3 linked regions of the Saccharomyces cerevisiae S288C genome follow. The gene in region 1 interacts genetically with each later gene. Each region holds a gene or a part of one and is shown on either strand. Other genes may lie near its edges.

The links.
Region 2: mutations in YDR249C (region 1) and KNH1 impair growth when combined (synthetic growth defect), as found in Saccharomyces cerevisiae (one large-scale study listed by BioGRID).
Region 3: mutations in YDR249C (region 1) and AIM45 together harm fitness more than expected from each alone (negative genetic interaction), as found in Saccharomyces cerevisiae (one large-scale study listed by BioGRID).

The regions. Positions count from the first base shown.
Region 1 is NC_001136.10:958,114-961,454, forward strand, and holds YDR249C (uncharacterized protein), read right to left. Parts: upstream 1,690-3,341; coding exon 568-1,689; downstream 1-567. Other genes in the region: YDR248C (gluconokinase), read right to left, coding at 1-226; PAM1 (Pam1p), read left to right, coding at 2,501-3,341.
Region 2 is NC_001136.10:364,485-367,848, forward strand, and holds KNH1 (Knh1p), read right to left. Parts: upstream 1,391-3,364; coding exon 584-1,390; downstream 1-583. Other genes in the region: tRNA maturation protein LHP1, read left to right, coding at 1-295; STP4 (Stp4p), read right to left, coding at 2,255-3,364. UniProt on the Saccharomyces cerevisiae protein: Involved in cell wall beta(1->6) glucan synthesis.
Region 3 is NC_001148.4:563,467-567,133, reverse strand, and holds AIM45 (Aim45p), read left to right. Parts: upstream 1-2,092; coding exon 2,093-3,127; downstream 3,128-3,667. Other genes in the region: HAL1 (Hal1p), read left to right, coding at 463-1,347; YPR003C (uncharacterized protein), read left to right, coding at 3,366-3,667. UniProt on the Saccharomyces cerevisiae protein: The electron transfer flavoprotein serves as a specific electron acceptor for several dehydrogenases, including five acyl-CoA dehydrogenases, glutaryl-CoA and sarcosine dehydrogenase.

The sequences.
Region 1 (3,341 bases):
TTTTCAACCAGTCCCAACGGTCGTCGTCATTTAATGGAATCCCTCTTGTCATCTTTTCTACGTTGGCAGGCGGGTGTAAATCATCACCTTCGATGAATTTCAAATCCGGGTATATATCTTTAAATTCATGGATTAGTTCACCTGCAATGGTTGATTTTCCTGTACCTGCAGTACCTGCCAATACAATAACCTTAAATTTCCCCATAGTTTTGTGTTTCTCTGTCATCAACTGCGTTGTCCATCCATACGCTTACTGAGACACTATGAAAGCCTGTTTAGTCTTCGGAAAGCTATTTATTGCTTGCTACTTGAAAACCTTTTGATTATCGATATTTTTTAACGGGACCTTATATAATTATTGCTTGGAAACTAACGGTGTTATAATTTTTGACAAACTAATTAGCGACGTAATGAAAGCAGAAAAACCGCAAGAATATGAGAAAGGGAAAATATCAAAGAAAACAAAATATATTCCTTATATAACACCATCTTTTGTACATAAATGAATTGGCAAGCACATATTGTGCATGCATGCAAGGGGCAGAATCTTAATACTAAGTAATTTAATTATGCAAACATAACCCCGTATTGAGGCCTTCCGCCGCATTTAACGACCAAATCTATGAGTTTTAAATCAGACACCCGCCTTAACAGGTCCCATATAGTGCTATCAGATAAAAGTTCGTTTTCTGTCAATGATGGATTGTAATAATATTTCAGGATAAATTTCTCTATGAGCTGTAATCTTGATCTATTCTGCAAAAAAAACTCAAAGTTCAGACTCCCTAGTGAATCAGCATACGTGAAATATAATAAAAATATTACAGTCGTAAGGGGTTCAATAGACGCTAGTTTTTGCACTGTAGATCCAGAGACGTATAGGATTAAATCTATTGATTCAAATAGAGAAACAAAGGTAAACTTAGGGCTTAGGTCAGTTCCTTGCATATCAATACCTTGAAAAAACCATTCTATAAAAGGGGATATCACATCATATGGATTCTTCAAAGTAAAATGATTACCTAGAGACTTCACACATTCCCTACGTGTTAAAAAAATATGCATATTGTTGTAAAAGTTTTTAGGGAAGTCTTCTTTCGATGTATCTTCAGTGTTCATTGAACACAAGTCTAGCTCTTTAGATGTATCAAAATCGCCATTCTGCATATCTTGATAGTGCTTTCTGGGAAGAAAATGAGAAATATTTTTCAACAGGATAGGATGATGATCTAGTAGTAGTCTAAAAAAAGTTTCATGCTCAAATAATGTAGGGATCACAATATTTCTTGAATAAGCTTTTATATTACTTACGCCAAACTCCAGGGGATCGAAAAGATATTTTTCCCACATGATCTTCGATAATAATGAAAAAGATGGCTTCAAGCAACTATAGAAGAACCTGTTCAAGGTGACCATCGACGGTTCACCCTTTGTGAAAACGAAAATATGTTGAATAATCTCTACAGGTAAATCTTGCAAAGTTAGCTTTTGATGATGCCTAAGTTTCTTCGCAGGAAGCCTGATAGTCCTTTGATCTTCCGATATTGGCCTCTTGGATGAAACCCGGGTCTCTAAGAGATGCACATGGTGCTGCAAGTTTATCGAAGACGATGCATACCGATGCAAAGGAAGTGCATGTTTCTTTCTCTTATCATGACGGCTAGAATATCCTGTCAAAATATAACCCATGGCCACTTATTCTAAAAATACACTGCGTGAAAAAAGCACTGCTTACTTTAACAACATTAGTCCTCTTTAAATATATTTCATTACTCATCGCAAACTGAACAATTCTTGATGCTTAATTCTTACTAGCTGCAAAAAAGACAAGATGAAACGCGGTGTATGGTTGGACGATATAGTCTTATCCTAAATACACACAACATATATTGCGTAATAAAGAGATCTTCCTATCTATAGCACAATTTGAAGTTGAAAAGGCGTATCTAAAATGCTAATACTAAACAAGGCATCATGTTTTTGTCCCATTCACGTAGCACTGGCGATTTGCTTCCATATTCTTCTGTGTACAATAATAGCTTGGGTGGCTTTTTTCACAATGGGCTCTACGCGAAATTGTCGCAGCCCCCTGTTGGCCGTGCTGTGGGCCATTCTCGAGACTAGAATGAAACAGAAATCTACAAACATGAAAAGGTAGAGTAAAGTCGAGTAAGTAGTAGAAAAGAAAAGTGATATTGGCATACACGATAGCGAAGTTGTTCATATCTATTATCACCAGGCCATTCATTAAAAACTTACCGCTAAATTGAAAAAGAGGCGACTGCCAACATACTTGCCCTTTTTTTTTTCGCTATTATTAGTGTCCTTTGATTACAAACTACATCCATTCGAAAAGCTTGTAACCAACACTAAAGTCTGTGATTCTACCCAAATATTTGCTCTCCGTCATTTCTATTCTGTTTGAACTACTGTGCATATATTTTTCTTTTTGTTTCCTACATTTTATTCCCGGCATATCTCGCGATAGGTATATTGAATAATGACATCTGCATTAAGGGTTTTGGTATGCGGAGATCACCCAAATCTCATTCTGTACACATCCAGGTTTCAACATGCCAAAAATATAGAATTTTATCTTGTGAACAACTCAAAAAATGCCAACTACGAGGTTAGTTCACTATTTTATGGGACGGAACGGTTTCAGATTCAAAACCATTTCCAATCGCTCCTAGATTTAGTAGACCTTAATAATGAAAATGGTGGCTTGGTATTCGACTTGATAATAATGAGTGCGTCTTCACTGCAAGAAATCCCGCAGGTATTGAGAGATATAAAACCTATGATGAATAAGACAACAAAGATACTATTTGAAAGTAGCGGGTTTATATATTTGGAGCCATTCATCAAGGCTTCAGTTGATCTTTCGCTGTCAAATATTTTCAGCATTTTCACCGATTATGACATAAGACGGTTGGACAATGGCTCATACAAACAGTTCACGACTGCAAATGCCAAATCCTTTTCTGTTTCGATCGGTCAAACGACATCCGTTCACGAAAACAGCTATTCAAGTGATATTATTCCTATTTTGAATACATTTCAGAAATTGTTCCAAAAACTGTTTCCTAGGGACGTTGTGACTCTTTACGATCATTCTCCCTCCGCTTTCTTGGCAAAAGAATGGGAACTAGCTTTGCCTCAAATATGTTTCGATCCATTATTAATAATATTAGAAGAGAAGAATCCATCAACCTTGGATGACCACGTTTTGGCCAAACCTCTTATTTCAGGTTTACTAGGCGAGAGCTTATTAATAATAAAAAAAATGGGTATAGCCATGAACAATCCAAATTTTCAAAATGAACAGACTATATTGAAAC
Region 2 (3,364 bases), 590 kb from region 1:
ATTTAAGACAATTCCAGAATGTGAAGCTTTTTTGAAATCGTATTCCAATGACGATGAGTCCAACGAAATTTTGTCATATGAAGGTAAGAAACTGAGTGTTTTGACGAAAAAACAGTTTGATTTACAGAGAGAGGCCTCGAAGTCCAAAAACTTCAGCGGTAGATCAAGATCCTTTAACGGCCATAAGAAGAAAAACTTGCCTAAATTCCCCAAAAATAAGAAGAAAAACGGCAAGGAAGAGTCAAAAGAGGACTCTTCTGCCATTGCCGATGACGATGAGGAGCACAAGGAGTGATTCTTGTGTTTCTTCTGGTTCTCGTATCTCATTATCATAGCATATTAAGAATATATGTACTAACATATGTACTAAACAGAAACACAATATGAATTACAACTAATACTATATTATTTGTCTCCTTTTTTTATTAGTATTAAAAATTACCGTTACTGGTTAAAATGGAATACAGCTCATCCATTTAAAAAAAAAAAAAAATAGAATAACAATAATTAAGCAGAAAAAATGTTAACGAATATAATAAATCGATTTGTCCATTTTCATAAATTTTTTTTTTGTATTATTTCATTATCTGTGCCTCAAAGCATTAACTTTTCTTGCAGTCAGAGAGAGTCTCTTGCGTGGATTATACCAACCGCCATTATCAGCCGGCATAGGGGCCGGCGTAGCATAGTTACTATCAGCTGTAATTATGTATGACCACCCTGGTGTTACGGTAGTATGTTGATCAACGGAGTTTCTTAAAGTGTAGTAATACGTTACCTCACTGGTCGCGTACTTCCTTTTCCATGTCTTTGCTGTTACCTTAGTAGCCGGTTGGAGTTGCATGGGAGCATATTTCACAACACCTGTTTGTAAGTTGTAGGGAACGGTGAAACTCTTAGAATCAATCGTGGCACCCACATCTCCTGTGGTAATTCTTGTTTGTGCCTCTGGTGCAATGGTTATCATACTCGGATTAGCGGCTTTTGTACCAATCATCCCTTTTAGTTTAAATCTGTTAGTGTAATGAATGGTGTAACCGATAGCTGTTTGCGCAAAGACTTGTATGAAGTAAACACCGTCCGTCCCAACGGTGTTTTCTATTATCGCATTGAACTCGTTGTCTGTCAGATCACTCGCACTGAGTGTTTGAAGAGTAGCCATTGCTTCTATCATGGCATTGGTACCCGAACACAGAGTAAACGTGTATCTGACAAAATCCTTTTCCTGTGGTGTGTTATCTGTATGCATCCACTTTACTTTGACAACAGCCTGACTTGTACCAGATAAATCATAAACTGAGTTGGGTTCTGGAGCCACAATGGCCACATCACAATAAGCTGTTCGGAACACTACCGAACAAAATAATGTTAAGAATAATACTATCAGCATACGTTTTACGTAATTGATTTTTTATTATTGTTACCTACCTAAGAAGTCGACGTAATACTTGTATACTTTACTTTTTACTTCTGTGCAACTTTCATCGATACGTTTTTATAAATTTACGTAACTAACTACCTCATGTAATATTATACATGAACGAGCACATAATGTCCAATGTCCCTTACATGTTCGTACTTTCAAAAAAGAAAGAAGAAAATTGGTGAAGAGGAAATGTGCTTTTCTGTTGGAGTTGGTCAACAATATGATGAGGAAGAAGGGAAAGCCGCAAAGACTGGATTTACGCAATGGACTACATTCTCATGTGAAAAAAAGAAGTGCTGCTTCGAAGGTTCGCGACCCTTTCAAGGGACTCGCCGCGATGCAGAGAAAAAAAAAAGAAGAGATAACGTGGGGGCAGCTAAAAAAAGACGAATCGATAATGAGTCCATGACTTGAGCCGGACGGACTTATAATTCGATTCGGGCCTAGGCTTGTACAGCTGAAATAGTGTACAATATAAGGAACTAAACGATCGGAGACCAATCGGAGAGCCGGCAGTTGAATCAGGTGCTTCATCACTGGCATAACCTATCCGCAAACGGCTGATGCAGGTCTCAACGCCCTTCTGGTAAAATCAAAAAAAGTAAAAAAAACGGCTCATGCCAGCTTGCTTCCTGTCAATAGCGGTTGTTGATTTTTTCGCTTCATGCCTAAAAAGAGAAACGAGACACAGAGAGAAAACAAGAATCTAGATTAATAACGTAGGGCAGCGTAACAATAATTTACGCAGAAATGATGTGTATTATTAGGGCATAAATAAATAAATGTATGTATGTGTGTGTATGTATGAGTCGGTGAATGACTTTGGTTTTAGTGATATGAGTAGCCACATCCTTTCCCCACGTGCTTATTTAGCCAGACGTCAACGTTCGGAAATTGCAGTCCACAATGCTTGCACTTCCCCGGCACAACACCTCTATCTTCTTTCTTGGTCTTGGGCGGGTACTCGAAATGCAAAGCCTTTAGGTGATTCTTGAAAGTATCACAGCGCGAAAAAACGCCCGTTTGATGACAGTTTATTGGCTCGAAATAGAGTGATCTAGACTTGTGTGGATACACCTCCATATCCAAATTGATCAGAGTAGAGTTGTAAGGACACTTGAATGCACCTTTAATCTTGTATAGTGATTTCAATTGGTTTTTCTTCAGTAGTTTTGTTTCTTCGGAAGAGGATGAGGCAGCGAGTTTATCGTTTGAGTCGTCGCTGTCGTTGTTTGCGGAGGTGCGGGCAGTGTCATCTTGATCGTCAGCACCACTATTGTTGTCGGACTCCCTTGCGTATATTTGCATAAATTCATCTTTCCAATGGCGCTTCTTGTGCCTTATCAGATCATTGTTCCTGGCAAAGCCGCGTTGACAGATAGGGCACTTATGCGGTCTGTCCTCCGGAGTTAAATGAGTGGATTTATGCGTAGATAGGTTGGCGTAGAAGTTGTGGCAGATGGGGCATTCCTTTTTCTTTCTTTGCTTCGTTATCTTGGCGGAATCCTTTAAAGACGATGAATACCTGCTTGTATGTTCATTAGTCAATGGGGAATGAATAGACGGTAGTGCAGAGGCACTACTACTACTGTTGAGTTGCTGTTGCTGTTGTTGTTTGACGATCAAAGGTGGGAATCCACTAACGGGTAGGCTGGACACGGATTTTGATCTCGGTACGTTATCTACCGCGGTTGGCAATATACTCTGGTGTTGAGTTGGTGGTGAGGGGGTGATGGTTTTGAAACCCGTTGTGTTGTTAGGGTTGCAAAATGTTAGCTCATGTCTGTGATGATCTAGCACTGTTCTTGGCACCGGTGATGTAAAATTGGCATGCAAGGAATTTGATCTGCCGTTAAATTCTCTTTCTGCAACTGTAATTAAATTGGTGAAGGAGGATATGGGTGGCAAAATGACATGGCTTGAGCTGTTGGATGACAG
Region 3 (3,667 bases), on another chromosome or scaffold:
TGTTTTGCCAAGATATCCTCGCAGAAACAGTTTTACTTAAAGTTTCAGGTGTTGCGTGGAATGCCCCTGCTAAGCTGTCGTGTCGCGCTCTTCCCCGCGTTTGTTTCACATTATATATCATATGGCGTATGACGGTATGGGTGAAAATAAGCGTAGGCTGGTTGTGTGTATTTCTCTCGCACTTTGAAAGGGAAAAATAAAAATAGAGTCTATTAGGAAGCTCACATATGCCGGGAAAAATTACGTAAAGCATCAAAAGGGAAAGAAAATATAGGGAAAGATAAAACAAAAAGCAGAACGGTATCAGGCATTCTTGTTTTAGCCTTTATGTACGATATGGCGTTTATTATGGAGAATATTGAGGTATTCAACTATTTAATACTTGCTATAAATTCTGCCAAACTACTAATCATTCCGTTTATATAACTCAAGAAAAGAGAAATACAGAAACAAATAGATCAGATGCATTTCAAAGATTTAGGATTGCATGACTACACTCTCAAAAACTTGATGTATGAGAATAATTGCTGTAAATTTTATGATGCCGTGGATGAAAACAACATCTCATATGTTTTAAAATTTGTTCCCTCAGATGTGACTTCGGAAGGGGATACTTTCCCATTCGTGGATCGCTTTCAAGTAAAGGAAGGTGTTTTTTTGGTATATTCCTCAAATGACTTTGGAAAAGAAGGTACGGACTACTTTACTTATACTGGTAGTGGTGGAAATGAGGTTCACATCTCGGGCACCTCTTCAGAAGCAGGAATAAAACCGCAGTTTATTGAAACTTGCCATCCAAAACATCTTAAGCGGGGAACAAAAGAGCAGGAAGATATAAATAGTAGTACCTCAAAGAAAAGTGCAGTTATCAACAATTTTTCGGGTGAAAAAACACCAAATCCAAGGCCACAGAGTTCCAACATTTCAGAAAGAGAGACGTATGTCGGAATATTGAACGTCAAATGTAAAAATAAGAACTCATCGAAAATACGAAGTGAAAAATTGGTAAGCTCCGTCATCGAAACAAAGCATACGCCAGGATTGGCATCTATTTTATCGAAAGAAGGCACTACATATCCGAATAATGCGGACGGGAAACATATCAGTATCGTGAATCCATCCTCAAAAATATATCATTCATCCCATAAACAGATTGTTAAAACGCCTATCCCTAAGAGTGGCCTTTCTCCAATTGAGAGATGCCCTTTCAATGGTCAAAATATTAAATGCTACTCACCAAGACCACTAGATCATGAAAGTCCCCAACGTGATTTCAATAATAACTTTCAGCTGAGAATACTGAAGAGCTCGGTGTTGCAAAGGAGACAATCAACACAGAATAGTTGAAAAATTCGTTGGTACTAGCTTCGGGTCGGTTAGCTGCGCTGCTATGCATTTGTTAATATCTCCATCGAATTTTTGTTGTTTCGTTCAATAACTTTATTACTTCCCCCTTGGACTCTTTCGTTCTATCGTTCTACAAGTCCAGCCAAAATTTTTCCCCTCTTCCTTTTCTTTTGTTCACTTCTTAGCTCACTTATATAATTATATACTGATATTTGGATTCTTTTGTTGCAAATATGCTCTCCCAGATTTTTCTGTTGAGATGATTCATGCTTTACATGGATTGAGCATTAGAGAGTAACTATATCCAATTTCGTAAGACGAGTATCTACTTTCCCTTGTCCCCAGTAACCTCAGGAACGTGACAACTACTTTTCTTAAACTGTCAACAGCCAATGATACCGTATTCAATGCATGTCTTGGGATTAAGCCACTTTGATTGAGTTCCGTATTAGTAGTGAGAATTAAATCTTGCAAGATATAAGAATTACTCAACAGAGACGAGATACTTTCCTTTTTTTGGTTCTTTTGTTGTTACTTGGCTTAATGGACAAAGTCTGCTCGCATATTGTATATGTTACTCTTACGATGTGACTCCGCCCGTTTATTATGACTTTTCGGTACATTTTTAGGGCCTCGAACGAAAATCTACTAACTAAAAATTAAAAACAATTAAAATAATCAACAAACAAAATCTAGTGATATAATTTACTACCATTAACGGTAAAGCAGCTAATTGTTAATTTCTATGTTTAAATCATTGGCTGCTGTCTTGCCTAGAGCTAGCAAGGCAAAGTTCCTCCAGAAAAATTACGCCTCCACTTTAGCTTTCATTGAAAGCTCAAAAGATGGCTCTGTTTCAAGGTCATCATTGAGTTTATTGGCTGCTGCACAAAAGTTGTCTAACCCTATCACAGCTGTAATCACAGGTAGCAAAGCTGAAAAAACTGCTGAGGCGCTAAAATCTTCATATTCATGCAGCAATTTAGAAAAGCTTGTCATATTTGAAGATTCAAAATTAGATACCTGTCTTCCCGAACAACTAACTCCGTTATTAGTGAAACTATTAAAAGGCGGCGACTATTCACATTTTGTTGTCTCAAACTCCTCTGTTGGAAAAAGTGTTTTACCTCGGGTGGGTGCGCTCTTGGACGTCCAACCTGTTTGTGAGGTTACTGTAATCAAAGATCCTAAGACCTTTATAAGGCCAATTTATGCAGGTAACATTATTTCTACAATAGAATGCCAGGCAGAAAAAAAACTGTTGATTATTAGGGCATCAGCTTTTCCACCAATTGCAGAGGGTAGTATGGATTCTGTTACCATTGAGAAGAGAACTGATATTCCTCCTTGTGACTTAAATGTTACCTGGGTTAAAACTATTCTTACCAAGAGTGAAAGGCCTGAACTTACTTCTGCACAGAACGTGGTAACTGGTGGAAGGGCACTCAAGGATAAGGAGACATTTGAGAAGCTATTATCGCCGCTAGCAGATGTTTTGCACGCTGCTATAGGTGCCACAAGAGCTTCTGTTGATAATGGACTATGTGATAATTCTCTACAAATCGGTCAGACTGGTAAGGTAGTCGCACCAAATTTGTATATAGCCATTGGCGTTTCTGGTGCAGTTCAGCATTTAGCGGGAATGAAGGATTCGAAAGTTATCGTTGCCATTAACAATGATCCTGATGCCCCTATATTTAATGTCGCTGACTATGGGTTGCAAGGGGATCTTTACAAAATAGTCCCTGAACTAACTGAAAAACTTGGTAAATATAAATAAATAAATTCTTAACTTCTAAATATATTCATCTCTTCGCTTTGAAGGGGGCACGTTTTACTTTTCCTAGTTCTCTTGCCTTTTTAAAAATGACCTTTTCGGTGTAAAGCGGACTAAATATAAAAGACTACGAGAAATGGCAAAGGAATAATAGAGTTCTTCCAGATGGGAGAATATGAGGAGAACAATAACTCCACAAACTTCCTAGTGATTTCCAAGAACTTACGGAAACAATTATAGGATGACATCAAATAATTCGTTATTGGGGCGTGGAAGGATGTCATATTCCTCTACCGCTCCACCAAGATTCAAAAGATCAGTCGACCAGCGTGACACTTTCTCGGACAATTTTGATTATGATAAGGATTCATCCAATCGAGGCAGGACCTATATTGCAGCATCTAATTCAACTACTGGGGTACCCCCACCCAACAACTCAAGATCAGGATGCACCAATAATACAAATAATACAAATAATACAAGTAATACAAGTAATACGAACAATAATGATAGCGTTGATGAGAATACAGTGTTTGAAACTTT